4 linked regions of the Neodiprion lecontei genome follow. The protein of the gene in region 1 binds, or shares a complex with, the protein of each later gene. Links are inferred from orthologs where the notes say so. Each region holds a gene or a part of one and is shown in the gene's direction. Other genes may lie near its edges.

What was found.
Region 2: nuclear pore complex protein Nup54 (region 1) and nuclear pore complex protein Nup85 share a complex: the UniProt entries of both Drosophila melanogaster proteins name them as parts of the nuclear pore complex. The link is inferred for Neodiprion lecontei from reciprocal best matches to the Drosophila melanogaster genes Nup54 and Nup75.
Region 3: nuclear pore complex protein Nup54 (region 1) and nuclear pore complex protein Nup214 share a complex: the UniProt entries of both Drosophila melanogaster proteins name them as parts of the nuclear pore complex. The link is inferred for Neodiprion lecontei from reciprocal best matches to the Drosophila melanogaster genes Nup54 and Nup214.
Region 4: nuclear pore complex protein Nup54 (region 1) and PCI domain-containing protein 2 share a complex: the UniProt entries of both Drosophila melanogaster proteins name them as parts of the nuclear pore complex. The link is inferred for Neodiprion lecontei from reciprocal best matches to the Drosophila melanogaster genes Nup54 and PCID2.

Annotation. Positions count from the first base shown.
Region 1 is NC_060262.1:32,774,691-32,782,438, reverse strand, and holds nuclear pore complex protein Nup54, read left to right. Parts: upstream 1-1,819; 5' UTR 1,820-2,029; coding exon 2,030-2,129; exon of another isoform or gene 2,130-2,455; coding exon of another isoform or gene 2,456-2,830; intron 2,831-3,362; coding exon of another isoform or gene 3,363-3,398; exon of another isoform or gene 3,399-3,519; intron 3,520-4,410; coding exon 4,411-4,869; intron 4,870-5,067; coding exon 5,068-5,975; intron 5,976-6,503; coding exon 6,504-6,731; intron 6,732-6,955; coding exon 6,956-7,078; 3' UTR 7,079-7,227; downstream 7,228-7,748. Other genes in the region: uncharacterized protein LOC107226633, read right to left, coding at 2,456-2,830, 3,363-3,398. UniProt on the Drosophila melanogaster protein: Component of the nuclear pore complex (NPC), a complex required for the trafficking across the nuclear envelope. Essential for the nuclear import of nuclear localization signal (NLS)-containing proteins in an importin alpha/importin beta-dependent manner.
Region 2 is NC_060264.1:6,092,039-6,099,552, forward strand, and holds nuclear pore complex protein Nup85, read left to right. Parts: upstream 1-1,905; 5' UTR 1,906-2,115; coding exon 2,116-2,145; intron 2,146-2,250; coding exon 2,251-2,356; intron 2,357-2,486; coding exon 2,487-2,828; intron 2,829-2,925; coding exon 2,926-3,305; intron 3,306-3,384; coding exon 3,385-3,704; intron 3,705-3,820; coding exon 3,821-4,038; intron 4,039-4,122; coding exon 4,123-4,350; intron 4,351-4,432; coding exon 4,433-4,532; intron 4,533-4,614; coding exon 4,615-4,825; 3' UTR 4,826-5,371; intron 5,372-5,581; exon of another isoform or gene 5,582-5,802; intron 5,803-5,846; exon of another isoform or gene 5,847-6,159; intron 6,160-6,426; exon of another isoform or gene 6,427-6,745; coding exon of another isoform or gene 6,746-6,841; intron 6,842-6,922; downstream 6,923-7,514. Other genes in the region: uncharacterized protein LOC107225458, read right to left, coding at 1-67; GTP-binding protein 1, read left to right, coding at 6,746-6,841, 6,923-7,034, 7,217-7,397. UniProt on the Drosophila melanogaster protein: Component of the nuclear pore complex (NPC) that seems to be required for NPC assembly and maintenance. Required for nuclear import of phosphorylated Mad via importin msk.
Region 3 is NC_060262.1:33,074,762-33,082,784, reverse strand, and holds nuclear pore complex protein Nup214, read left to right. Parts: upstream 1-2,004; coding exon 2,005-2,166; exon of another isoform or gene 2,167-2,237; coding exon of another isoform or gene 2,238-2,270; intron 2,271-2,581; coding exon 2,582-2,875; intron 2,876-2,999; coding exon 3,000-6,945; intron 6,946-7,034; coding exon 7,035-7,233; intron 7,234-7,288; exon of another isoform or gene 7,289-7,547; coding exon 7,548-7,575; 3' UTR 7,576-7,684; downstream 7,685-8,023. Other genes in the region: integrator complex subunit 4, read right to left, coding at 7,856-8,023. UniProt on the Drosophila melanogaster protein: Part of the nuclear pore complex. Serves as a docking site in the receptor-mediated import of substrates across the nuclear pore complex including emb, RanGAP and phosphorylated Mad. Protects mbo/Nup88 from proteasomal degradation at the nuclear pore.
Region 4 is NC_060264.1:4,179,578-4,184,125, reverse strand, and holds PCI domain-containing protein 2, read left to right. Parts: upstream 1-1,779; 5' UTR 1,780-2,214; coding exon 2,215-2,235; intron 2,236-2,317; coding exon 2,318-2,359; intron 2,360-2,442; coding exon 2,443-2,564; intron 2,565-2,632; coding exon 2,633-3,114; intron 3,115-3,361; coding exon 3,362-3,882; 3' UTR 3,883-4,029; downstream 4,030-4,548. Other genes in the region: uncharacterized protein LOC107227510, read right to left, coding at 1-366, 598-688, 1,134-1,243, 1,371-1,428. UniProt on the Drosophila melanogaster protein: Required for the export of nuclear mRNAs and involved in mRNA trafficking in the cytoplasm.

The DNA of each region.
Region 1 (7,748 bases):
AATTTTAAATAAGTAATATCAAACGTTGAAGAAAGTAAAATATATATATTAATACATGTATATGTACGTTATAGAAAATAGGAGTTTTTATTGAGTGTTTCTACATGAAATTGAATTACATAAATGTTGGCTGTTACATAACAAACTCTGTGAAAATATTGTTTTACGATATCATTTTATTGTTGTAATGCAATCTGTACAATTTCGAGCAAACAACTGAGGTAATTACTTCATTTGCTGATGTACGCAAAAAATAACTGGAACGTTTATTTCGTTCGGTAACAATATAATTATAATAGAAGTATTCGGAAAGATTCTACAAGAATATTTCAACCCCACGGAACTAGACGAACAGATCGTTTTCTTATAAGACAATATGTGTCAATAAAGCGAGTATAATTCAATAATGCTGTGCTGTATCTTACGATTTTTTCTTAAACTTATATTTTTCTGCCAACATTAGGTTGCGCAAATTACACAATAAGCATTATGGTGCCGTTGATAGAATCATTGAAAATTTGTCACAGACACGAGTCCATTTATAGAAGGGAACGGAGATTAACCATATAAATAAAAGAAGAAGGAAACTACAGTGGAAGACAAACAAAGAGTGCAAGAAAATTTTTTCGGAAAACTGGATAATTACGTGACGTTCCAGCCATGGATGGAGAAAGATTAAATAAGGACGTTTTCTCCAGCAATCGCAATATTTCTTATAGCCTCCGCTATAAGGAGAGAGGTACTGTCTAATAACGATTGTGCATGTTATGTTTCGATTTATAAATCAAGCAAGACGTAATTTGTACAAATTGTTCTCACTTTTATTTTGAATATCCGTTTAAAATTTTAGGCTATTGTCTAAATCATGCCGGAGTTATTATACTTTTAATTTTTCGTGATCTTACACTGATTCTTATGGAAAACAGTTAGGCATTTAAAATAAAAGTGAGAACAATTTGTATAATTTTCATTGACCTAGCACTATTTTGATTCACACGCCTATACATCCTTAAATAATTTAATTGGATCTTTTAATCGTTTTATTTAATCGGACATACTTTAGTAAATTCCACAGGTCCTGGTGACACAAGTCCAACAGTCGAGTTATGAGCTTGATGGGTCAGTATTATTTTATTAGCATATAATGGCAAACAAAGAAAGTAAATGTACAAATATCCTTGTCTACTTTCAAGAACCTGAAATTAAATTTCATGTATAGGACACTACGCAAATACAGTAGAAATTTTTTTCCATTAGAATTAAATTAAGTGGTTATTCTTCTCTAATTATGGAAAATATTGTAAAACCTCCCTGCTGTAAAATCATGCTATTGAAATGAGAGTAACTCTTCAATTCATAATTCAAATCATTAGAGCCAACGATAGGAAGATGCTTCAAAAAAATATAATTCTTACTATTACGTGAGATAAATTCGTCATATATTTAGTAACTAGTCGAGAAAAACGCAAATTTAAAAAAGCACAAAAGTCATGATTTATTAACAAAGTGTCTAATAATTGTAGTACAAGGTGCGTGCGTTGACTGAAGACTATAAGTCTTCAGACAACGGTGCGTGTAAATACTTGGTTATACATAAATAAACATATACAAGAGTGGTATCAATCTGTAAAAGCGGAGTTTGATAGTTCAATCTTATCCAAATTTCAAATATCTGTACATGATATAGGTATAGTACCGTGATTACTATCATTCAAATAAATTGCGCGCAAGTGACGTCACTGACGAGTAAGCAGTTCGATTGCTCGGGGATATTCATTATAACAAAACGACGCCGTAGACCTGACGAACGATTACAGAGCGCAAGCGTGCTTTGCGAGCCAATCATATCACAGAGTTGATCGAACGGCCAATTAACAGCTGGGAGTTTATTTCTGGTCGAATAATACATAGAATATCACTTTCGTGTGTGCGTGTTGTATGATAGAACTTCCGACTGTGTATTAGCCAGTGTTATTTGGGGTTATGTTTCTTAATTTGTACTAATTCTTTAAATAAACAAATTATCAAAATGTCCTTTGGTACTGGATTTGGGACTTCTACCCCCTCAGCAACACCAAATTTTGGATTTGGGGCGCAAGCTTCAGGCACAGCCACAGCAGCGAAACCGAGTAAGTATGAACTAGAACTTGGTGTATTTTCAAACAATAACCTAAATGACTACAAATTCATAACAATAAATTTTACTTATTAGTTCTAAATTCGCTGATGTGATCGGCACGAAAAAAGTATCTACGTTCTTACGAATTGCACTACGATGTGTTTAAGGCAGTAGAGAGCGATCGAATTGTCTGGGTAGTTTAAGCTTTACCAAAGATTGACCACGACACTCCGCTCTTTCTAGTTAATATGACATTTTTTATTCCAAATCCTAGCTCAGTCATAATCTCCAACCTATAAAATCATCCTCAGAGTATGAAACATCTATTGCGTTAGGTTACTTCTTGAGCAATTGATCCGACGACCGAGAATTCATATGTTTCACTGATGCTTCTGAATTCTTTGTTGATTGTCCGAGATCCATATCTTCTCCTGGGCACTCTTCGTCGCACGTCTCTTGATTTCTACCTTGCACTGTGCAAAAACCTTTCCTCCTAAGTCTGGCAAGTATGCAGGCAAGAACGCAGCATACTAGCACTAGAATTCCTAAGAGCAATCCCAAAACTATCAATATCGTTTGACTCGATTCGTCTGAAGATCCATTTTGACCAGATGCAATGGATTGCATGGTGGTGGTAGTCTGAGTAGTAACAATCGGCGTGGTGCTTTCAGATAGTTCATGCAGTATAGTGGACATATCGCCTATAGTATCCTGGAAATAAAATAATAAAGTACCAAATATTGTAATATTGAGTCTGAGAACAAAGCAAAAAATCTTCATCACATCAGTATTGCACACAAGTTATTATGTATATATATGTGTGTTTCATCAACTTTGGTTAGTTACAATGAGCAAGGAGTGCGGAATTTCTGACAATGACGGTAATCGAATATGTATAAAGGGAACTTTAAATTACTCCAAATGATTCCCCTGTGGTTCCCAGTTCATTTTCAAACTCCGTAACTTCGTCAACAGGACTAGTACTCACTTGGCGTGGATAGGGATGGGTGTGTTCATCGTATGAGTTATGATTTAGTTGCTTTGGATTAGAATTGGAAGCATGGTAAAGTATTTCCATTATTCTTATTGCGTTGCAATGGGTGAATGAGAAACTGAGGTAATTTTATGTTAATTGTATTGTAAAGTCAACAAACACATTGTTAATCTACATGGTATCCAAATTTTGAATCAGCTTAGTTGATTATAAAGCATGATAATAGTAGTACAATATTGATATACGTACCAGCCGTTGGTGTTTTACGTTTTTGGAAAAGCTCATCTTGATTTGCGAAAAATAAATAGTCACACTACGTTTACCTTCACTGACAGCTTTATAGTCATTAAACCCTGTTGATGCTTGAGCAGCCGAGAATCCCTCAAAGCTGGAACAAGGAAAGTATCAGCTTCCGACAACTTGTTGAAGTCACATTTAACCGGATGTTCGTGGTCGGTTTTTCCCACCACAGAGATACGTAGAAATGATGAAAGAAACATTATATCGTAGGCAAATCTTCGTCTTTTGTGCTACTTTATATTTTTCGCGATACATAATTTTAATAGATAGGAAACCAGTCTTACCAAATATTGTGTAAGAATTATACTTCATCAATCTAGTCAGAATTACAATTCGATAAATAGAACTTCAGAAGAAAATTAATTTCATGTTTCTTGACATCAAAAACTTGGTCACGTTTTGACATTTCCCCTAGAAATCTGTCTACATATTGAAATTGTTAGACACACCTGGTTGTCTTTTGTCGAGCGCTGATTTTTATTACCACGTCATCCATGATTTCTGGGGAAAACATCTGACGGCTTGGTACAATTGCCTTTATAGCGAACATTTGATCTTTGAACTCTGATGTAAATCGGAAATTTTCATAATACACTGGAATAAAAGTTCAAGGATGCGGTTGACACTTCAGAATATTACATTGCCTCAGATGAGTTGCTTTTTGCATATACATGAGACCCGGTCTATTCAATTTCCGAATAGTGAACATAATTTTATTATCTGCAACTAGGGCACAATGCTAAAATTCTTACATGACAAGTTTGAAAGATTTAAGAAATGGGGTATTTATTCACTATGAATTTAATTTCTGTACCAAGTCCATTAAATAATACAATACGCTCACACCCGCCAACACATCAAACTATTGAATAATGTGTAAAAAGAGACAGCAGAATTATCACACTTGTAATTTAGAAATATAGTCAAGTAATAATTTGTTTTTTAATTGAAAAAAGTTTGCTTCGAAGAGTAATTCATTTTATTTATATTATCTTAGCTGGTTTTGGTACACCATCGTTTGGATTCGGCACTCCGGCTACATCAGCACCAGCTCTTGGAGGATTTGGTACCCCTGCAACACAGGCACCTGCCTTTGGAACTAGCGGTGGCTTTGGTACATCAACAGTCGGAGGATTTGGAACACCAGCCACGAGTACGATAACATTTGGCACTCCAGGTTCATCTTTCGGGTTTGGGACAGGTGCAGGATTTGGTGGTACGCCAGCAACTTCATCTACGGCATTCAGTGGATTTGGGACAACTGCGACTACAAGTTCAACAGGTTTCGGTGGATTTGGTTCGTTCCCAACCATGGCGACATCTTCAGCACCGAGCTTATTTGGTGGCTTTAGCACATCAGGCACAACAACAACAGGATTCGGCACAACAGGATTTGGTGGATTTGGTGCTAAGCCAGCTGCAATAAATACAACAGGCTTCAGCAGCTTTGGAACAGGTTAACTGAAATCCGAATTTGGAAAAAATATTAGAAATAATATATTTTCCAAGCACCCTGGAACTCTTGTACTAATCCAATCTTAATGCATTCAAACGCTAGAGGAGAAAGGACAGATAATTATATTTTAATTGCCCGTACTTGAAATATCTTCACCACTATGAGAGACATGATTTTACCTAAGACGTTATTTTTCAGGTTCTGGTCTTACTGGGTTAGGAACAACTCTTACCCAACCGCAACAACAGCAGCAACAGCAACAACCGCAGCAACAATCTGTGAATGCGATATCGGAAGCACTTTATAATGCAGTATTTAACTGCCAACTTTTTAATGACGAACGTGATAATACCATAGCAAGATGGAACTTGATCCAAGCATTATGGGGTACTGGAAAAGCTTACTACTCGTCGGTGGCACCTCCTATAGATTTGACACAAGAAAATCCTTTGTGTAGATTCAAAGCTATTGGTTATAGCTGTATGCCAGATGCAGATAACAATGATGGACTGGTCGTTATTTGTTTCAACAAAAAGGAACAGGAATTAAAAGATGGAAAACAGACGTTGATTACATCACTCAACACCATTCTCGGAAATAAACCAAATTTAACATTAACTGTTGATACTATAAAATCGACAGATGACAATAAAAGTCACGTGACAATCTGCGTATCTGAAAAAGGTGTGACAGGATTGTCTAGGAAAATTCCGGCAAACGAGTTAGTTAGTTTCTTTACACAGACTATGCAAAAACAACAGCTGGCCCAAATGGGCGTGGAAAACATTTTTCCACAGGTTAAATTAGACCCTAGTCAACTGAAGGAATATTTGGATAACCCACCGTCGTCTATTGATCCCAGATTATGGAAGCAAGCGCAATTAGATAATCCAAACCCAGAGAAATATATTCCAGTGCCAATGATTGGGTTCAATCAAGTTAAATATAGATTGAAATGCCAAGAAGAAGAAACAGCCAAGCATAGAGCATTTCTAGACTTGGCTGCAGAAAGAATTCAAAGTTTACAGAGACAACACACTGCAACTCAAGCAAGATTGAAAGAACATCGACGAAATTTACTCGAGCTGCAACACCGAGTTTTACAGGTGAAGAGGATCTTGATAATTTTATTTCATTCTACTTCTACGCACTGGGTGGGCCAAAAAAACCGGACCGAGTTAAAACGTGAATAAATTTCGAACGCATCGACCAATTTTCGAAACTCTTTTTACTCGAAATTAAAAACATAAACCTTTCGTTTTGTGTTCGGAAATCTAGAAAATCTTCATCCTTGCTGAGATACACGATTTTGAAAAACAGATTTTGCAAAATTCGCTGGGAGGATAAAAAAAAATTATTATTAAAGAATGTTTAGCCTAATTTTCATCTTAAATTGTGATTTGAAGTTCAAATTTTCAAACGCGAAACAAATTGTTTATTGTCCTAATTTCAAGCAAAAAAGAAAATTTTCATAATAAAGTCAATGCATTCGGATTTTATTCACGTCTAAATTTGGTGCGATTTTTTTTTACTTACCCCGTATACTGGGCCATTTCATTTGGATTCGTCAAATTTTTTTTACCATCATACTGCTTTACTTAATGTAATAATACGTTTCATAAATGAATTTCTAGGTGCTGGTTCGTCAAGAAATAACGCGCAAGGTTGGGTTAGCATTACAACCTGAAGAAGAAGTGCTAACAAATAGGTTTGAAGCAATGCATTCGCAAATAAGTGCTCCGACACAGTTTAAGGGAAGAATCAGTGAAATGCTTTCACAACTGAGAATGAGACGGCATATGGACTCTCAAAACCACGAACGATATACTATGGATCCTATTGCCCAAGACGATATTAAAACCGTGAGTATATTTCATATCTTTAGTACAAAACTTAGTTTACTCTTCCTAATTATGAAGTTATCACAATTGCAAGACCAGAGTCAATTTTGTGGTCAACATTTAAAACTAATTTTTTGTTTTTAACAAAACTGATCAGTATCAGCTTAGGATGTACGAGACAAGTGTATCCTTACATTGCTTTACATTCGCTAATATCAATTAATATGTATTGTCCTTCGTTGCAGTATTTAACTATGGAACAGCAAGGAATGTCTCAACTCATTTCTACAATCAACGCTGATCTGGAGTGCCTGAAAATAATTAAGGATGGCATGTCCGATCTCCTCACGAGTCACAGCATCTCTTGAAATACAGCGTATCGTTAATTATCGTCAAGTCTTTTGAAAAAAAATGCACCGGTCATGCAATTTCCAAGTTGAGATGGTGGAAACGAGGGGAAGTGGCTTTCTATCTATTACGGACAATTATGTAATAAACTTCTTTGAAACTGCTGTAATTTACCGTACTTGATTCGTAATAATGCCGGACATCCGTCAGCAGTGAATTTCCCTCCCTGTTTTGAAAGTGAATTCATTGCTTAAGCAAAGACTCGCCACATTTATTGAACCGTCGCATACATAACCACATCCAATTCATAAATGGATATTTTCCACGCCTTATAAATGTATCGGATGTGTGTTGATGATGAATAATTGAATCAGCGTAAATCCCTTGTACGATGTGTGTAAAAGTTGGTATATCAACTATCATTTTGATATATCACACTGTAGTGGGTACGTGACTGACAAAACCGTCCCGCTTTATAAAAATTTTTCTTGCAATGATGAAGTATCATGTTCATATTCAGACTACTTTGATGTCGTAAATCAAAATGTTACTCATCAAAATTTAAAAGACATTTATCAAAGTCTGCCACATTTATATGAATATACGTGTGTGTACAGCTATGATGAAGCGACTATTTACAGCTATTTGAAATAGCAGAATTTACAATACATTTCAGAAACTGTTGAAGCG
Region 2 (7,514 bases), on another chromosome or scaffold:
CCTTGATCAGCTTGTTTTTACTCGCCCGTTCGCGGCCAGCGGCAGTGGTCGATGCAGGCTGGCTCATCGCTGCTTTTTCGCGCGAGCTTTGACCGCCGGGTGGCCCGTAAAACGTTCGATAATTTAATCGACTACTCAATTCGAAGAATCTACGCCTACTTTTGTATACGCTCCAGGAGAATGATTCCAGAGGGATAATCGCCCGGCGATACAACCGAACTGCGTTACAGCCTTCCAAGTTTCAACTGACTAATCGAACACTCGAGTTCCGCGGAGCTCAACACCTCCGACAACGAACGAGCGCCATTACGCGTGCTCGTTACACGTCCGTTTGCTCGGCGACGCCGCAGCTCTACTACGATCGCAGCCTTCAACCAGGAGCTCGAAAGGTCGCGCGGCGATCGCTCGATAAAGTCGCACTCTGCACGCACCGACGCTGCAGCGGCTGCAGCCAAATTTTCGACTGCGCGCGGCGACCCGAGCTCGCTAACAATAAAAGCAATTAGTTTAAACGATCGCAATGTCTCTCATAAACTCGCTCCCTCGTCGGCTAACTGCAAGGGCATGAATCTTTCAACCAGCTTTTGATTACACCCGTGTATTATAGTTAATGTTTTGTTATCTTTTCACAGAGTTCATTACACCTCGTAAGCGAGTTTCGAGTAGATTCAGAGGTTCAGGGCCGGTTGTAATGTGATTGGTCAATTCTAATCAGAATCGTTGTTTCCGACTAATCTTTCGAGTTGGTTGAAGCTATGATTGGAAACTTCGGTCAATGTTAGAAATAATGTGACTTGTACACTTGAAAATCAATAGATAATACAGAATCAGATGTATCTTTACAACTCCATAAGGATTTCTACTGCGGCTTTGTCAAATTTTATACTACATTGTAAATCACGCAGTCTTACCACATTGGTTATCTTAATTGACCTGACAAGGCATAATATTGAAATTAACAAGGTGACATACGTATTGCATACACATGAACAAGAATAAGACGAGTCATGATTGGAATATGGCTTCCATAATATTGCTTTATTCGTTTAGAGTGAATTCCGAACTTTGAAAGAACTTTTAAATGCCGGGTAGAAACCTGCATAAGACAGATTAAGCAATATTCAGTGTAACTGCTACTTGCAGCACTATTTCTACGATTGTAAAGATTTTATAACTACGACGAATCAATTGATTAAATCGCGTAAACATGTGCAGATCATATGCACACAGCCTGATGCTTATTGTTAGTTTGAACGTCTTCAGAATAAGAAATTAGTTAGCAATTACTACACATCTTAAAGTTTGGACCAGTAAGAAATGTCTGACAATGATTAGTGGTTTAATCTTTTTTTTTTCGACAGCGTGAGTGAAAATCTTATGAATTATTATCGTTCCACGTCCCCACAAATAATCAACTCACTTCACAGCATTCAATTATAGGTCTATAACTGTAAGGGTTAGGAATGTTATCAAATGTCTGATAATCGACGATTTAGTTACTCACATGAATAAAACTTGGTTGATGTAAGCTGGGGTAAATTTCTAACAACTTGTGGCAATCGGCGGCCGAACAGAAGTCGTGTTACAGCTGAGGTGGTAGCCATTTTCCAGTATATCAGTCAGTCGCTAGCGCACGGGCATGCAAAGAGCGAATGAGCTGATACCGAGCCGGCTCAGAGTTCTGATTGTATTAGAATTACCGTTACGTAAAGAGCTATCACGGCTCTTACGAAACTCTATACTGACTGATAAGAACGCACCAATTGCGATACTCGGCTATTATACTCGATACTATCGCAAAACTGACAAACTACAAACCATTGTTACTGTTGTTGACGAACTTTATTGCGTTCTTGTCATCTTATTTAAATCAGATGCGATACACTCATTCAAGGCCTTATGTCATCCGTCGGTAAAACAGTTATAAACTTTCAATTTGTCCGATAAATCATAGATGTCAGTGAAACCGGAATGGTTACCTTCCTGCTTTGAACGTTAAAATTCGTTTTGAGTTGTGAAAAGATGATCGTGAGTAACAATTAGGTTACCGATTTCGTTGATGAATTTATGTACTAAATTCAAAAACAACCGGTGAACTAAAGCTCACGTTCAGTCATGGCAGAAGTCAGCAACGCTCAAATAATTGTAAGCACCTCAATATACTTATTGGCCCATGCGGACTTACACCGGGTTTTGTTCACGGAACAATCCTGATATATATTGCTATTTTGTCAAATATATTACTTACAGGCTATACCAGACGACGTTTGCAGAAGAGCAGGCCTGGCTGCGACCTGGATCGGCCAAAATAAAATCGGAGTTCACGCGTACAAGCATATTAATGCACACTCGAAAGGTGAGGTTACGTTTTTTAGCGGGTACCGCACAGAAACTGTTTTCTGCAACATCGATGACTCAGATGTATACGGTTTATTTTTTGTCTATAGTGAAAATGCTAATTAATATTTCCATCGGCTCGTTTGCAGATGTTCCAAGCAGTCTTGCACCCTGTGAGGTTAAAGTTCATTGCTTACGACAAGAAGTGATTTTGTTCGAGCCGGCGCTTCGCAAACTAGTCAATGAGAGCAATGGAGTGTTTCTTGCGATACAGAAGATTAAAAATTCCACTGAAGACCTTAGACCTGAGCTTTTGAAGTACAGCAAACACTACAGGTCCATATTAAGAGCCTGTGTAGAAAATCTGCAAGATGTTGTTGAAAAGTCAACGCCAGACAAAAAACCGACTTTTGAAAATTACTTGACTATTTTTTACAATGTCGAGTGTGTTTGGCACCTGACAGAGATCCTTTATGTTAATGTCGTCCCAGGTATTGCTAATAGCGCAGTCAAAATTAATTCAAACTTTTTTTATTTTCCAATTAATATTTATGACATAACTACATACATGCCCTAATTTCTTTGTAGGAGATGTGATACTTCCACAGCTGTTGGAGTGGGTGAGATTTCACTTTCCATCTAGAGAATTAATGGCCTCTAAAATACTTGCAAAGAAAAGTCTTGCTGCCGATTTGGATAATGTACAGTACTGGGAAGCAGCGATAGGATGCGCTTTGCACGGTAAACTCGATACCGTTCGTTCATTGTTAGCTATGCACAGCAAGGCAGATAATCCTGCTTTTGGCACTGCTGAAAATGCTATAAGGACAATGCCTGTTTACAATGTATATGGGGGATATTCTGTAAACGAATTTAACATGAGATGGAAGCATTGGCAATTTGACCTCTCTTCGCAAATTGAAAGCAAAACATTTTCTACAGACCGAAATTTAGAGTTACTAATGAGGGTGAGATTTCAATTTGTCTCCGGCTGGAAGCACAGATAAGAACATTAGTTTTTATTTTTGTGTTTTTTTTTATCAACAGCTTATCGTTGGCGAAGAACTTGTTCTTTGGGAGTTTTCAAAATACACGGAAGCATGGTATGAGTTATTGGCTGCACGTTTATTTTACTCTGCGCCCTGTAGCAAACAGCCAGAACTTGCTAGACATGCAAATCATATTGCAGAAAAGTGGCGTGCAGGCAGGTATTTGGATCATGTAATCTTAGCTCTAATGGAAAGTGATTTGCATCAAGTAATCAAGGAAATTCAGCATATGAGCGACAATGGATGGTTTGCAGCACATCTGATCAACTTGTTGTACAACTGTGGAAGGCTAGACATCATAGACAAGCATCAAATAAAGTAAGTTTGACTTGATTTCTTATGGGATTACATTTATTTTCCAGGATACTTGTATTTGGTGATTTTCATACAAGGTACGTGAAATCCAATGGTAAAATAAAATTACGTTTTTTCAGTGTTACCTCACAGCTTCATGAATCATTGATATTAGACTATGCCAGTACTTTGATGGGTCATCATTCACTGTGGCAGTGTGGCGCTAGCTACTTTGAACACTGTCCTGCTCAAGGATTAACTAGATTGCAGGCATTGTTAGAGTCCATTCCACTGGGTAGTGAAGCACGAGTGAATAAAATTATCGAGATTGCTCGTCAAAAGCATATGACCAATGTTGGTACGTATAAAGAAAATAAACTCGCAATTTTCGCATTATTTCAGACCTCAATAAATTGAATAATCTTTCATGATATAATTTTAGTAACCAGCGTTTCCAAAATACAAGGAATGAAGTGTATTAGACAAGGACGGCTAGGAAATGCACTTGCCTGGGCATTAAAGGCACAAGATGGTGCGTTTGCTACTTTTATAGCGGACCAATTTCTAAAAAACTATGCCAAACACGGAGAACTCGAGTGTCAAGACCTTCTAGAGAATTTAGGAAGCTGTATGCTGATCAGCGACAGACTTACGTTTCTTGGTTTGTATAGTACTGTACAACAGTTGATTGTCTATCAAAGTTTTCGAAAACTACATCGAAAGCCAAATATCAAAATTTCGTCCTGTTTCAGGAAAGTATTGTGAATTTCATCAAACGTATGGACTAGGTGAATTTAAAGATGCTGCTGCCTTGCTGGTCTCGTTACTGGTCTCTAATTTAACTCCGAAATAGTAAGTGACTCAACTTGACTAATTTCTAATCCCCCTAACGGAAAAGTGTTTATGTGATTAATAAATTTGCAAATCGTTTCAGCTTCTGGTCGATTCTTCTAACGGATGCAATTCCGCTTCTGGAAGCAGAGGATGCTGTACTCTCATCTAAGGATACTTTCGAACTACTACAAACTGTTGAAGAACACGGCAACGATCCGAAATTTCAAGACAAAATCGACCTTTTCCGACTAGCAGCGGCAAGAAACTTGGCACGAGCGTTGAATATAGAAGGCTGCTTAGGGGATCATTGATATATATTCGTAACGACAAATCGAAAATGAAACCTGACAACTTATGTCGAAAACTCGGTTCTAAATAAATTTTATCATTAAATTCGGTCTGAGTAGTCAGATATTCATTTGTTGAAAGCAGGTATTTGACTCTTTAAACAAAGGTCAAAGGAAAACAATATCGGATATTTGCCGTCTATACAGCTGAGAGCTCAATCACTGCCATTTTTGAGATAAGCCTCAATAAATGCACGTGCGAAATAGGTACTCTCCCTGGATGTTCCAGTATTTTAGTTCATTTGTAAGATATAGTTTTGTAACATTATTTCATCGAATTTTAATTAAAGAAATGTTAAAAATGATACCATTCCCTGTCTGTATATCCTCATGCACCGTTATGTTGTGTGGATGTGTATTCAGTAGCTTGGCTGAGGTCAACCGCATCATAATTAATCCAAAATTAATGTAAATTCACAAAAAGCAACTAGTACGTGAAGCTGTACTATACAAGGTTATTTTGGTTAGATGTACGAAGTAACCGTATGAAGCTCTGAAGTTTGCTCTTACGTAAAAAACACGTTTAACTCAAACGAAAGTTTTCTGCAACTATATTCAGCGAAGTATTAATTACTTACTTATTTTTTTTTGAATTTGAATTATTTAATACGTAATTTATACCAGATATATGGTTTCATTTTTCCGGCGCAAGGTGGCCGATCGGGAAAGTGACATCATTGGTTAAAAAACTGCAATGTGGCGCCATCGTGGCTCCGTGAACGAAGACTTTTTAAGTAGTTGCACGACATGCTGCAAATTTGTGTAATCACCTGATGTGTACCTAGCAACAAACTTCATGTGCAGTGACAGCCTCCAATCCGACAACATGAAATAATTCTGCCAACTTTCTGTTAACTTTCGATAATTCTTGTGAGTGTTTACTTTTTCGTTATAGAGAAGCTTATGTATTACAAAATTTTAACAACATATAATAATGACAGGTGAACACTTGTTTATTTTTACACCGTTTTGTATTTCATGAATAGGTGATCATTGGCAGCCCTACAATATGTTTATTTATAGAAATAGGCATAGATATGAATATGTGAAATAATGTTGATGTAAGTTTAGACATTTCACGAAAATTAATAACTTTGATTACTGGTTTGCAACATGTTATATCAGTGATGGTAGTAGTCTCATTCAATAATAAAAATTTTACAATGACCACAATACCTGATGTACATATTTTCGATATCAATTTATTTCCTAGTGTTCTCGATTAACAAATTCCGTAAGTAGTATTTTAATGTGTGTGGAGACCAACGAGTGGACCAAACTCTGCCATAAAAATGCAGGTATAAAAACTACATGATGTAACTTTTCACTGACGTTTCAAATATTCATTCCACAAGATATCACCTTTCTTATCGGTCACGTATTGTACTGTAGGAAGTGGTGTAATGACATCACACACAATGCTAACTATACTTGAAAGAAATGTTTACATCATAACACGATACTCGTAAAGAATTCGAATAATAATAAAAACAATCAACCATATCAAATTGATCACTGATATAAGTAAAAAAAATTTTCACCGACATTTTTGTGTTTCATTACAGACATAACAATTGAAATTTCAAATTAAATTGAAAAGTATATCTGACGCAAACTCCAGTGGGGATGACAACTTACAGAGCTCTTTCATCATTTAGCGATTCCTGTTAAGATAGTAATGAGTGTGCCCTCAATGGTTTTTTACCGAAGGCTCTTTGGATTTAAATATTGGAAAATATTTGGCATAGGCGTTCGCATATTAGGAAATTCTACTGCTGTTGGGAATTGAAAAAGTGTTTAATCAAAGAAAAACGTGTTTCACAATAAATTAAGAATAATAAAAATTAATAAGCACCAAACTCGTCAGAGTTACTGACATCCAATATGACGTCGGCAACATCGACTACTTCAACAATGCCCATACTGGCAAAGGAAAGTTTTCCTACTTCTGCAATGGACTATGCTAGCATCAGGGGAAAGGTATTTTACCTTGTATAAAGAAAATGTTCAAATTCAAGATATCTTGATGTCGTACAGAGTTAATTTTGCTCAAACTTGCAGGATGTCCTTGTTAGTCCAACAGAGGATCAGTACGAATTGCTACTGAGACGACTAAGAGAAAGAATTCAGGATGGCGGAAGTGAGACGATATTTGACATCGGTGTTGGGGAAGGTGCGTCTTAGAAAATTTCTGTTTACTGCTTCCTTTACTTTCATAGAGGTCTTCATAAATACTCTCAGGCCATTTTTAAAAAGAAAATATGGTTGTCGGTAGTAAGAATACTAGAAACATTGTTAGTGCGCCCCGAAAAACATCTCTTCTTTCTCTGAACTATATACTGTTTTTCCGAGTAGATGGTTCTGAGAATGGTCTGAAAGAGGATGAGTACGATGCATCTGTAGCCACTCTGCAGTCTCTGGCAGCAACTTTGGAAGCAGACTGTGTTCTGCTGAGGCAACGAAAAGTGGATCTGGGACTCATAGGACAATATTTGGTCAGAAGACGCTTAGACCAACAAGATTTTCTTGAAATAAGGTATAAAAACAGTTGCCTCACTTCTCCTCATTTAAAATCATTCTTATGTAATGCCAACAGAGTTCCTGTCATTTTGCAGTAAATCAAACTTATTTCTCTGTCGATTTCTAAATGCTG
Region 3 (8,023 bases), about 300 kb from region 1:
ATGGTCAGCCGTTGACTAAAGATATATTCTTGAGTTAACGGGTCAGCTAATAACGCTGCCGTTCTGCGACAGTCGGATGATAAAAATTTTTGCTCGTACGTTTCAAATGCGTGTTAAAATACACTCGTAGTTTGAAAAAGCTTCGTTCTTTCTCTCCCTGTCACAAAAAAAGAAACAAAATGCTACAAGTCACCTTTTCAGATCTTCAAATCAGGATACTGCATTAAATACTGTCTCATATACGGAGCATCCATTTCATCTCGATCGAAATTAGCGCATCCGTGATGTATTACAGTTACTCTGAATTTTTTTCCATACAAACACTTTCCGAAAAACAATTCTGCTTCTCTACCCAACGTAGATACTTTACTTGCGACTAGCTAAAACAGCTAAATAGTTCTTAGAATAATTATGAATATCAATGCCATGGAATATATGTATGAGCAAGTGGTCGAGGAGGACGAAGGTGGTCGGAAGTGGTCGGTCGTGGTTGGAGGTGTTTGGAACTGGTAGGAGTTGCTAGGCGTTGGCAGGGGGTGGTAGGGGGTGGTAGAACGTGGTCGGAGATGGTCGACGGAGGCAGGGGGCGGTACGAGGTGACAGGAGGTGGTAGGAGGTGTTAGGTGGTGGTTGGCGGTGAACGGAGATGGTAGGAGGTGGGTAGAGGTGGTAGGAGGTGTTTGGAGGTGGTTGGTGGTGATTGACGGTGGTCGAAGAGGTCGTGGACGATGAGGATGCCGAGGCGGGGGCGGCAGTGGTCGGGGGACAAGGTGGTCGAGGAGGACGAAGGTGGTCTCAGGTGGTCGAAGGTGGTTGACGGTGCTTGGACGTGCTCGGTGGTAATTGGGGGTGGTTGGCAGTAGTCGTGATGGTCATTGGAGGCGGTTGGCAGTGGACGCCAATCTCAAGCTTTCAGGGCGCACTCTGGGCCCACTTGCCCGCCGTAAAGTGGTTACAAAAAGTTACCCAAGGGTATCCGTCTTTATATTCTTCAGTCAACGCTTCTGGTCCGTCCGTTGCTTGCAGCGACTGCAGAGCACGGTCTTACATACAGATTTTTGCAACGAACTGAAATTTGAGTAGTGGGGGTAGCCGCGTTATTGTCCAAATTTTTTTGCCACTACTGGCCACTACGCAGCGCTGTCAGTTATTCATAACATAACAACGTAAGGTTATTTGTGTATGAGTATCAAAAAGATAGGTTAGGGTTCCGTCAAATAATAATAATAAGCTTATGAATAACTCGTAGCGCCGCTCTTGGTGGCCATAAGTTGTACTTTTGTTTCGGACCTGAACTGATCATCCCCCACCACGTTCGTTGCAAGACCTGTATGTAATAGCGTTTTCCACTGGTTGCACTGAGTGTGAACTGAGAGCGCGCTAGCGGTAGACTCGTATTTCCAGCGTGTTCCACTGACAGCTCGGGTGCGTGAATTTAGCATTGAGCGCGTAAAATATTGCACTGAAATCGGGAGTCTGTGTCAAAGTAGTGCAATTATGGCTGCAGATCGTGAAAGAGTCGAAGTAGATGCTGTGACAGCAACCCTTTTATTAGATCTAATTTCATCTTCGTCTAGCAGTGATGATGCTTGCTCGAGCCGAAAGATAGAGAGATTCCCAAAATTTTAAATTTCATAGGAGTAATCCACAGCATGTCCGATATCGAAGTATGGATACACATTTTTTCAGCTTCTAGAGGTTAACTGCTAGGTATATTTCAGGAGATTGGGACAACTTGACTTGCTGCTTATTAATTTTTATCTTTTCAGCGGAATTGTCAATATTTTTTGCCCTTGTATGCTCGTGTTTAACATTTGTGACATTTATTTACAAACAAAAAATTACCGTTGCGTTTGTTCAATTGGCTTCATTATCACTTACTTGAAAAACTGCCAGTCGCGCAGTCGGTCAAGTAACGTCACATTATTTCTGATTTAGGAGAAATTATGATCCAGTCTGCCTTTATACGTTTTACGGCGTGTTCCACTCAGAAGGTTTGCCCCGATGCCGGGCGACGTATGCACGGAACGACTGCCCCCTGTTCGAGCCAGTGCGCACTCAAGTGCAACCAGTGGAAAACGCTATAAGACCGTGCTCCACAGCCAACCTAGCTCCTGCCCTTCCTATCCCACTTTCGATGTTTTCATCCTCATTGATTGGTTAATGGTTAGTCCAATTTTTACTCAAAGGCGCTATAACGTTACAATCAAAAACTTTATTTAATGATAATATAAAAAATGAAGGCGGCACCGGAGCCTAAGGATGTACTGGTACGCTTTTTCTACTATACATGTCTTTCAAATATCCATTTAACAATCTACAATTCAATCGTCAATCATAACCTCAAGGTTTTTTAATTCCCAGTTCAACTTAGATTGATAAAATGAATATAAACAAAAGTTTCAATTGATAACATAAATGTAATATTAGTTGCCATCATTGTGTACTCTAATTGTAACGCTACACTATAAACTATTCATTGAAATTATGGCAATTCAGAGTTATCAACTTTAATTGTACATGTGTAGTAATTAACATTTATTACTGTAGCGTATACAACTGTTATGATGCATTTTTGCAGGAATTTCAATTTAAACAATCCACACATTGGAAAATATCAGATGGATTCAGCTCAATCCCTGTAGCTTGTAGCCTGATTGCAGTAGATGGGAAACGTGGATTGATTTACACAGCTTGCGACCACAAAATCATAGTCCTGAAAAGTGGCCACAGTCTGGACAAGGAATGGAGAAAGGAATTTGTTATGCCAGCAAAAGTTACTTGCCTTGCATTTAATTGCAATTGCTCGTACTTAGCTGTTGTTTTTGATTCTCCCACAGCTTACATTTACAATGCTGCTTCAGTTGTACAACAGGTAGATTTAAAATCTAGAAATAATTTCATTTACTCCACAAAATCAAAATATGAACTGAGGATACTGTTGTGTCCGAACTTGTAATAACAATCTATCTATTTCACAACTATGTGAATATTTACAGCAATTGGAGCTCCTACGAGAGATCAAATTATCGTCCTCATATAATGTCCATATTTTGGATCTTCGTTGGAATCCTTGCATCTCTGGAATGTTATGTACAGTAACAAGTGATCACTCTATAGGCAGTTTTAATATATCATCTGACAAAAATTCATCAGTTCTGACAATATTGGAAAAACTAGAAAAGTTAGATGTGCTCTGTGTGGCTTGGAGTCCCAAGGGAAAACAATTAGTAGTCGGAAGCAAGAATGGAAGTTTGCTACAGTTGAAACCAGATTTAAAGGCAGCCAGAATCATTGCAGGTCCTGATCCGAGCATCGGCAGTGTCATTGCTCTTTTATGGATCAGCAGTTACCAATTTTGCGCTGCCTATTTAGACCCACAAGACTCACGAATTAATGTCCTCATTATAGATGCCCCCAAAGGTGAATCTCAGGGCATCTTTACTTGTTATGAAGATATAACTTATAGCGTGCCCGATGTTGAAGGAAAAGAGGGCAGTCCGCCCCGATACTATTTTGAACATATTGCTGAATGGGGATTAATTATTGCTGCTAGTAGTACCAGTAGTGAAATTGCTGTTCTTGGCTCACTAGATAATGGAACAACATGGCAGCAATGGCAGTTAGTTGACAGTGGAAGAGCTCAGCTACCTCTTGTGCGAACTAATGAAACCTTTCCTGTTGGCCTAGCAGTAGATAGAACATCTGTAAACAAGCTACCGTGGGGTGGAGAGGGCTCAACGCTTCCCCACCCTGTACCTATACTTCATATATTTGGAACTTCCGGGCAACTCTGCAGTTTTCATATGGTAAATTTAATGCCAGGAATTCCACCAGTCTGCTCTCCTCCGACTGAAACTCTTCCATTGTATAGTGAACCACACCCAAGTCTTGCTCCTACAGAAATATCATTTAATTTGGATGGCAGAGTCACCAGCACTCCACGACCTAAACAAATTGAGCCGATCATGGATCGACCAACATCAGCTGTAACCACAAACGTATCTCCGAAGACCTCAGAAGTTTCTATTCCACAACCGCAAACTGAATTGTTTGTAACAAAACCCCCTATTGAGAAAATTGAAGTATCATCGAAAGTAGACACATCACTAGTACCCAGAAAGGAACTAAAAGAGACGGAAAAAGTCAGCATAGACAGTAACGTATGTGTTTTGACATACGAGGAGGTATGCAATGATTTTGAAAAAGAACTGAGTAGTCGTAGGGAAACACAGTCCGTAGATATCGGCTCGCCAGGCGAACGTACGCAACTTATTGAAAAATCTGAAAATATGCAACGCTTCCTAACAGATTTACAGGAAACAACTACTAGTTTGACAAGTGACATCAATTACTTAAAAGCTTTGTTATTGCAGACTTTTGCCTGGCTGGAAGAAACGAAATCTAAATGCTCTTCTAAAGCTTCAAGTAATCCCCAAAATCGAGGAAATAATAATAAGCTGAAAGAATTGCAAAATCTTGTCTATTATATTCAGTCTCAATTGGAGCAAGCTGCAAGAGCCCTAGATTACGAATGGTTCGAGCATGTAAATAAAGAAAAAAATAAAATGAAAGTACCGAGGCTTGATTTCGTTCATCAAATCATGCTTCAGCATTCACAATCTATTGCCAAAGTGGAAAATTTGATTCAAGCTCAGGTTAAGAAGTGGAAAACTCTTACACGTAGAGATATTACTTCTTCATTAAATAAATCCTTGGCCGATATGTCTCTATCTTCATCCGTCAATAACAAAGCTCCTAGTGGTGCTATAGAGTACAAATGTAAAGCAATTGCACAGAGAAATTGCAGCTTTACCTGTGAGAAACAACGCACTTTGAGGAATTTGTTGAACCAAACCACGATAAAGATAATTAAAGCAGCAACCCCTTCAGAAATTCAGGATCGCTTGGAGGCAACAATATCTTCTCTGGCAATGCAAAGTCCACCCAAAGAAGTACAGAGACGTAAGAATGTCTTAATAGAAAAACTGATGCGGGAAGATGCACTACCTGCACCTCCACCTATCCCAGCTGCAAAAAGTCCCTTAGCATCTTTGGATCAAATTGTCGCCAACATTGGATCTGTTGGCATTCAGCCAAACCTTAATTTGCAGAATAAAGCACCAGCCTTGATCGGAACACCTGCTTCCACTCTACCAATCAAAACATCTCAAGTTGGAGTCAAACCTAGTAGCACACAGAATAAGTCCACAGCATCCATTTCTCTTCCGTCGATCAAAGTACCACAAGTGGATGGCAAAGCACGAATAGCTGCTACATTAGTAGCATCGCAAACCCCATCAACAGCACAGTCTGTACAAAGCAAGCCAACTTCTGCTGCACTATTTGGCACACCTCCTACACCTCATACACCTCAAAAACCCATAACTGGCATCCCCAGTGGAATGAAATCTGTGACAATATCAGAAGTATCTCCATTCACATCTTCTGCTTCTAGATCATCGGTATTGCCATTGTTGCCTCCTGCACTGATGCCAACTACAATCACAGCTATTAATAAACCTTTTTCAAAAATTGACACTCTTCCATTTAATTCTGTTATTGCTAAAACTGAGGCACAGCCAACATCTACAACAATATCTACCTCAACAACTACACCAATAGTAGTTTCCACTTCTATACAAACCATCCCACAATCCAGTGTTAGTTTTATGTCAACAGTTCAAACACCAGCGAGCCAAGCGTCGACTTATCCCATTACACTGAAAACATCAAATAGTTCAGTCACCACACAAAGAGCATTAACGACTACAACTTCGGTAAACGTAACAACGTCACAAATCGCGAGTTTTTCATTTGCAACTAAACCTGCAAGTAATACGCCTTTTTCATTCGCCTCAAAATCAGTAGCCAGCCCAACATCAAGCACAGCTCAGTCGTTGGATCTATCAGTCATGGGGTTGGACTTACAGACTTCTAATACTTCGATTAAAAACGTAACATCAACAACAACAGTGGCGGCTGGTGGCTTTTTTGGATCTGTTGGGACGTCATCACCTGGATCAATATTTGGTGGAACTTCAACTATCTTGAAGGATAAGCCAGCAAATCCAATTTTTGGGAATCCTCCTGGGTCTTCGCTGTTTGGCGGGGTCTCAGCGGGTAGTAACATAATATCTTCGTTCAGCGAAAGTGCAACACCTGGTGCGCTAAAGCTACCAGTTTTTGGTAATAGCCCCACTGGCCTAACTGCACCTATTTTTGGTGGATCTGCTGCAAACCCGCTGAAGTCTGTTTCTGGTGAAACACCAGCTGTATCCACAGCTACATCAGGATTTGAAAATTCCGCTAATTTACCATCAGCTTCAGTTTTTGGTAATGTTTCTACCACCTCCGACACTCCATCAATATTTGGAGGTAATTCTACTGAATTTTCAAGTGCACCTACTTTGGGAGGAACTACCAGTCCACCGGCATCAATTTTTGGCAAAGCTAATAACAGTCCCATTAAACCACCAATATTTGCTGGTGACTCTGTTAATTCTTCGACACCCTCCGTTTTCGGCAGACCTCCCGATGCTGAATCATTTACGTTTGGTGGTATTCCAGCTAATTCTACACCACTACCAGCTTTCGGAAGTGGTCCCACAATTTCCACGAGCCCATCAATGTTTGGTGGAGCTATTTCTAATCCCCAAACTGCATCAATTTTTGGTGGTACAGCTCCAACTCCTTCTACCTCATCAGTCTTTGGTACTGTTACACCGTCAAATCAATCAATATTCGGAGGGGCACCTGTAATTCCTACTCCTACTACTAACATCGGCTCAACTTCACCAACACTGACGGCTACTGCACCAGCATTTAGCCAAACAGCAACTTTTGGTGCCAAGCCAGCATTTGGATCCACTTTTGGAGCATCAAAACCTATATTTGGCGGCGGATTTGCAAATACTGCATTTTCAGGTGCTACACAACCTACAAGTAAGCATTTGCTAATTAGTTGATGAATATTTGTCAAAAATATTTTGTCAGTGAACAATTCCATTCAAGTAAAAATATCTGAGTTTCAGCTGCTTTCGGTGGGTTTGGCACGCCATCGCCATTAGGAGCTAACTCCGGTAGTATCGGCAGCAGTTCAATGCAGAAAGTATTTGGTGAAAGCAGTGGAAGTAGTACCTTTGAAAATCTTGCCACTCAGGAAGGAGGATTAACTTTTGGCAATTTAGCTCAGAAGCAACAAGAACCAGCAGCCCCACCACCCTTTTCAGGGTAAGCAAATTATCCTTAAAATGTTTTATGCGTTTCTGAGAAAGATATCAATACGAAAAATTAACATATTTTATTCACTCAAGTGTGCTGATTTGTATCAAGAAGAATATCGCGCTCAATTCAACTTCGAATATGTAAAATGCTGATATCTTAAAACTTATTTGATAGCATTGAGGCATAATTGAGGGTAAATACCTTAGAATATAGTTAGCTTGGATCAAAATTAAACAATAATCCCAGAATACTATGATCTGAATATCGTTACATGATTTGATAAATTCACTTGTTTTGAAATCAATTGGTTACTTTTCCAGAGGAAGCTCGTTCCAGAGTTGGAGATAATGAAATCGACTGTGACCACATCAAGATTCATCAAGATTATCCCAATATACAAGTCGATCCGATAAGTCTCTTTTTATAACATGTATGAAAGTCTTGTAGTAAAATATTTGTACGACATTGTTGAAAGTTAAGACTATATTTTTAATCACTATAGATATAAGATTTTGTATTAATTTTAGTGTCAGATGTTATGAAATTATTGTTATGGTCTTTAAATAATAATTATGCTTTTATGCGCAAAGCATATATGTTTATTGATTGTCCAAAATATCATATTCATTTAGATACCTCTTTTGATTGGCTTGGGAGAAACAGAAACTTTGACAGGCTTGCACAAGTCAATAACACATGGATCGTCAAGTGGAGGATGCGTGCAAATAGGTGACGATGGAACAAGAAGCGATAATGAAACTTCCACGTTACAAGCTTCCATCCACACTTGATGCGA
Region 4 (4,548 bases), on another chromosome or scaffold:
TTTTCTGATCAACAAGGACATGGTTTACAGGTTTATAAATCGAAGATCTTACTGCCGTTGAATTTCGCTTATTAATAAAAGAACTCGTTATGGATCCCGGTGGTAATAGTCTGCTGCATCTCAAATTTCCGTTAGGATTAACTGTGCTCGGTTTTCGAGTGGGCTCTGCTTCACGTGCTGCGATGCTATCAGGTAACCTTGGCACAATTTTGTTACCAATCAGAAGTCGACTTTTTCTTTTTAAATGATTTAAATTTTCATTTCGTTTCGAAGAATCGTATAAACTATCGAGTCTCTTTCTGGCATTGTTTTTGGGTGATTCAAACAGCTTATGAATATTACGAATTGGTTGCGGCAATGGTCGACCTGCAGAAGTAAGGAAACTTGTTACCATTACCAGTCTTAGTCATTTGGTACGGTACAAGAATGTAAGGTAAGCTACAATTTTTATAAAAGGAAAAGGAAAAAAATGAGACCTCCAAGAATCCATGTATGCAAGTTGAAAAGAAATTTTAAAAACTGAACAAACTTCTCTGCATTGAATATTTATTTATCTGTACCAGCTAGATATGAAACGTTCTATCGAGCAATACTGACCAGGAGTTTTGCGACTTGATCCAGTATTTCTGCGGTCCGATGGATCATTGAAATAAGCCATAGATATTCTCACTGGTTGGCATTTTCTCTCCTGTGTATTAATAACAAAATATACAGTTGTAACTATTAACTCTCGACAGTCAATTCTGTTAATATTACATTTGTAGTGTACATGTATAAGAGTGTGTCTAGAGCATTCGCAAAGTGTAAGTGAGCCGCAAGTCAAAGGTCGATGGGACTCTGGAATGTATATAGCAGACAGTCCAAATATAGAATTCGAACTATAAACACCATCTATTCAATTATTTCTCGTCATTATCTACACCATAACATGAAATTGAAAACATACTTGAACGTGACAGAAAATAAGAACAAAAACAAACATGGAAAATCTATAACCTACGCATCTATTTGATAGTCAGCTTTGAAAGTAAAAAATTGTATATTATTAACTCTTACTCTGGATATTTCAGCAAAATTGACTTTATAAAAATGGATTCTGTTAACATTTAAAATTTCCTGAATTTTAAACCCACCGATCGAGGTTTGGCTATTTGAGCCATAGCAGCTTCAGATGTTTCCGGTCCAGTGTGACCTGGCACAAGGTCACGGATACTAAATATTGGATATTTTTTGCCGCTGGATTCTGAAAAAGGTTCCATAATTATTTCCGACGCTCAATGAGAGGAAACAAAACAGATTAACGTCGGTGAACTAGTTCGATTATTTTACGTTTAAAAAATATATTCTAGTATTGAATACGTTATACTCACTTGATGTGTAACATCGAGCATTGTTCGATAGATTCATTGTCATATTTTGTACTGACATTGTTCTTCTCGTTGATTAAACCATTCCTACTGATCTGCTCATTTATACAATATATATGTAATTTACACCAGCTGCAACCGTTCAGAATTCAAACCTCACCTAACCTAACCTAATCCGATGCCCGTAGAATGGGAAGGGAATATAACCATAGGCTGAGTTGTTACGGTGCCAAGTTCTTGGCCAATAGGAATGCCGGTGAAGCAGGGAACCAACGCCACCAAGTGCACGCTGCATGCGAATTACCTATTTTATTGGCATTCCTATTGGTTAGGAACTAAAATGCAAAGCTGCGCACGCCATTTGCGCACAACGCAATCAGATATTGTAGCGGCATGTGTAGATTTGAAAACCACGAACGGAAGGTTATGGAAGTTTTTCGATTTTCCACCCTAGTTTTTCACGTACGTTTTCACGATCCACTAACAATCTTGGATGTAATAGAATATGTTTTAAAAGAAATTTGGTATGAGACACGAATCGCCAACTATCTCTTCTTGAAATATCAACATCATAGATGGGATTCGGATCGATAATAATGTTACCGACAATACGTCTCACCGTCGGCATGTTTTAACAGGCTATACCGGTACTAAAGAACACGACTATGGATTGATATTCAGAACCATTCCATAACCTAAAAAATAAACTTGATAAACTGTGAATTGTAATCTGTCAACACGGTATAGACAGAACGTATTTATATCTGGAATTTCGCGAGAAAACAACTTTCAACAGATGTGATTGGCAGTTCTTTATTAACCTGGTTACCGAATATAAAAATCTATCATGGATTCATACATAATGCAGGTAAAAAAATTGTTCAACCGCCCATCCAATCACTGGTTAATATCAACTGAAAGATGTGAGGTTATAATTTCTCTATTTACAGCTTCGGCGCGCTTGGTTGAATCAGGACGGTGACGTTCTGGCTGTAAGTACATTTGTAATTTTCCCATAATCGTCACTATGCATTCGAAGATTTTCCTGATTCATACCTGATGTTATTTAATCCAGGATCTGCTGTCGCTTAGTCATAATCATGCGACAAATCCTCAACTTGGAAGCGATGCTGCAATGACAAAAGCAATGGAACACTTATCAGCACCCTTTGACGACCTGGTTTTACACCATATAAAGTAAGTAGAATATTTTTCAGAGATATTATTAAGCAAAAATAATTAAATTTTTGATAAACATTTTCCAGGGTCATATCGTCATTAAATAAAGACGATGCATTAACGTCGTATGCTCATCAGAGTGCAGCTATTCAGTCACTGGCAAAGATACTCCAGTTACAAAAAGACGAGAATTGGATGTTGCCAGTAATGAATTCCATGTGCTTAGATCTCAGGCGTCTAGCCCTTAAAGCTGAAGCATCCAAGTTTGGTAAAAATCAAAAGTCCGGTGAGGTGCTTGAAAAATGTGCTGAGTGCCTAATGAGCTGTTTTCGAGTTTGTGCAGCTGACAACAGGAACTCTGAAGATGACACGAAAAGATGGGGAATGCTCGCATTGGTTAACCAACTGTGGAAGGTCTATTTTCGCATAAACAAACTCGATTTATGCAAACCTCTAATCAGGATCATTGAATCGTCCGGTCTTAAGGATCAGTTCGCGCTCGCGCAAAAAATTACGTATAAATTTTTTATGGGACGCAAAGCCATTTTCGATAGTGATTACACAGCTGGTAAGCGTCAATAGTCAGTTGCAGGCCTTTCCACTGACAGTCACTTTTAAACTGGAAATGTAGCTTATTGTTCATTTTTTTTAAATTACTCAGCATTAAAAAATGTTTCACTTATGCTTTTCTAAATCAAAAAATGTTGAAAATGTATAATACAGATGATGTTAATTTTATCTAACTGGTAACGATGTTTTTAGAATGAAATTAAAGAGTGGATTTATTTAATGCCTGTTATTAAATTGTGTTACAGCGGACGAATATCTGACCTACGCTTTTGTCCGTTGCCACAAAGAATCAGCAAAGAACAAACGTTTAATTCTGACGTATTTAGTTCCCGTCAAAATGCTGCTGGGCTATATGCCAAAAAAATCATTGTTAGAAAAGTACAATCTATTGGAATTTTGGGAGTTGGTCGAAGCTGTTAAACGAGGAAACCTACGCAGCTTGGAGGAAGTGATGAACAAACATGAGATCTTCTTTATTAGTGCTGGGATTTACTTAATAGTTGAAAAGCTGAAGCTCATTACGTATAGAAATTTGTTCAAAAAGGTTTATCTCGTTTTAAATACCCATCAAATACCCGTAGCCAGTCTTTTGGCTGCTCTTGAAATGCACGGTGTTGACGATGTAGATATGGACGAAACGGAATGCCTTGTAGCCAATTTAATTTACGAGGGTAAAATCAGGGGTTACATTTCTCATCAGCACAAAAAATTGGTCATTTCAAAACAAAATCCGTTCCCGCAACTGTCATCGTTGAATTCAAATTGAATAAAAATACGATAATCAAATTCTGTGAATTTTGAAGTGGATTACGATACTATAATTAATATCGTTAAGGAAACCGCTGTTGTGTATACATACCTTTTATACGAAACCCGTAATTGTAGGTATGAATTAAATATTCTTGTTATACAAGTACGCATTTCTATTGTTTCTCTCTTGTCCAACGTCAGAAGATGCGTCAGACCATTTGCCAATGAAATAAAAGCTAATGGTATGATAATACGAATTTTAGAATACTATCAATATATATTCGTGAAGAGTACACGTTCGAAAATTCAAATTATGTAACTGACTTCGAGCTTAAGCATATTTTTTCGCAATCGTGAAGATAATTTAAAAGACAAGTCTCGAAAGGGGGAGGATTACTTTAACTGGTATAAAATAATCTGTCAAGTTTTTTATATTTTTTTGTTACTTAACAATTCAAATAGAGAAGATTAAAAATTTTCTTCGATGCATAAAGGCGTCATAAAAGTATATTTGAATCTGACACTAGACTCAAACGCGTGTGTACTGCATGGCAATGTAGGCAATACAGAAATTCTTTACGTAATAACGTAAGAAAATTGACGAAAGTATTTGTCTGTCGTTTGTATAATAGGGCATAATAAAGGGTCAGTTTTATCGTGATAATTGATCGTATAAATAAGA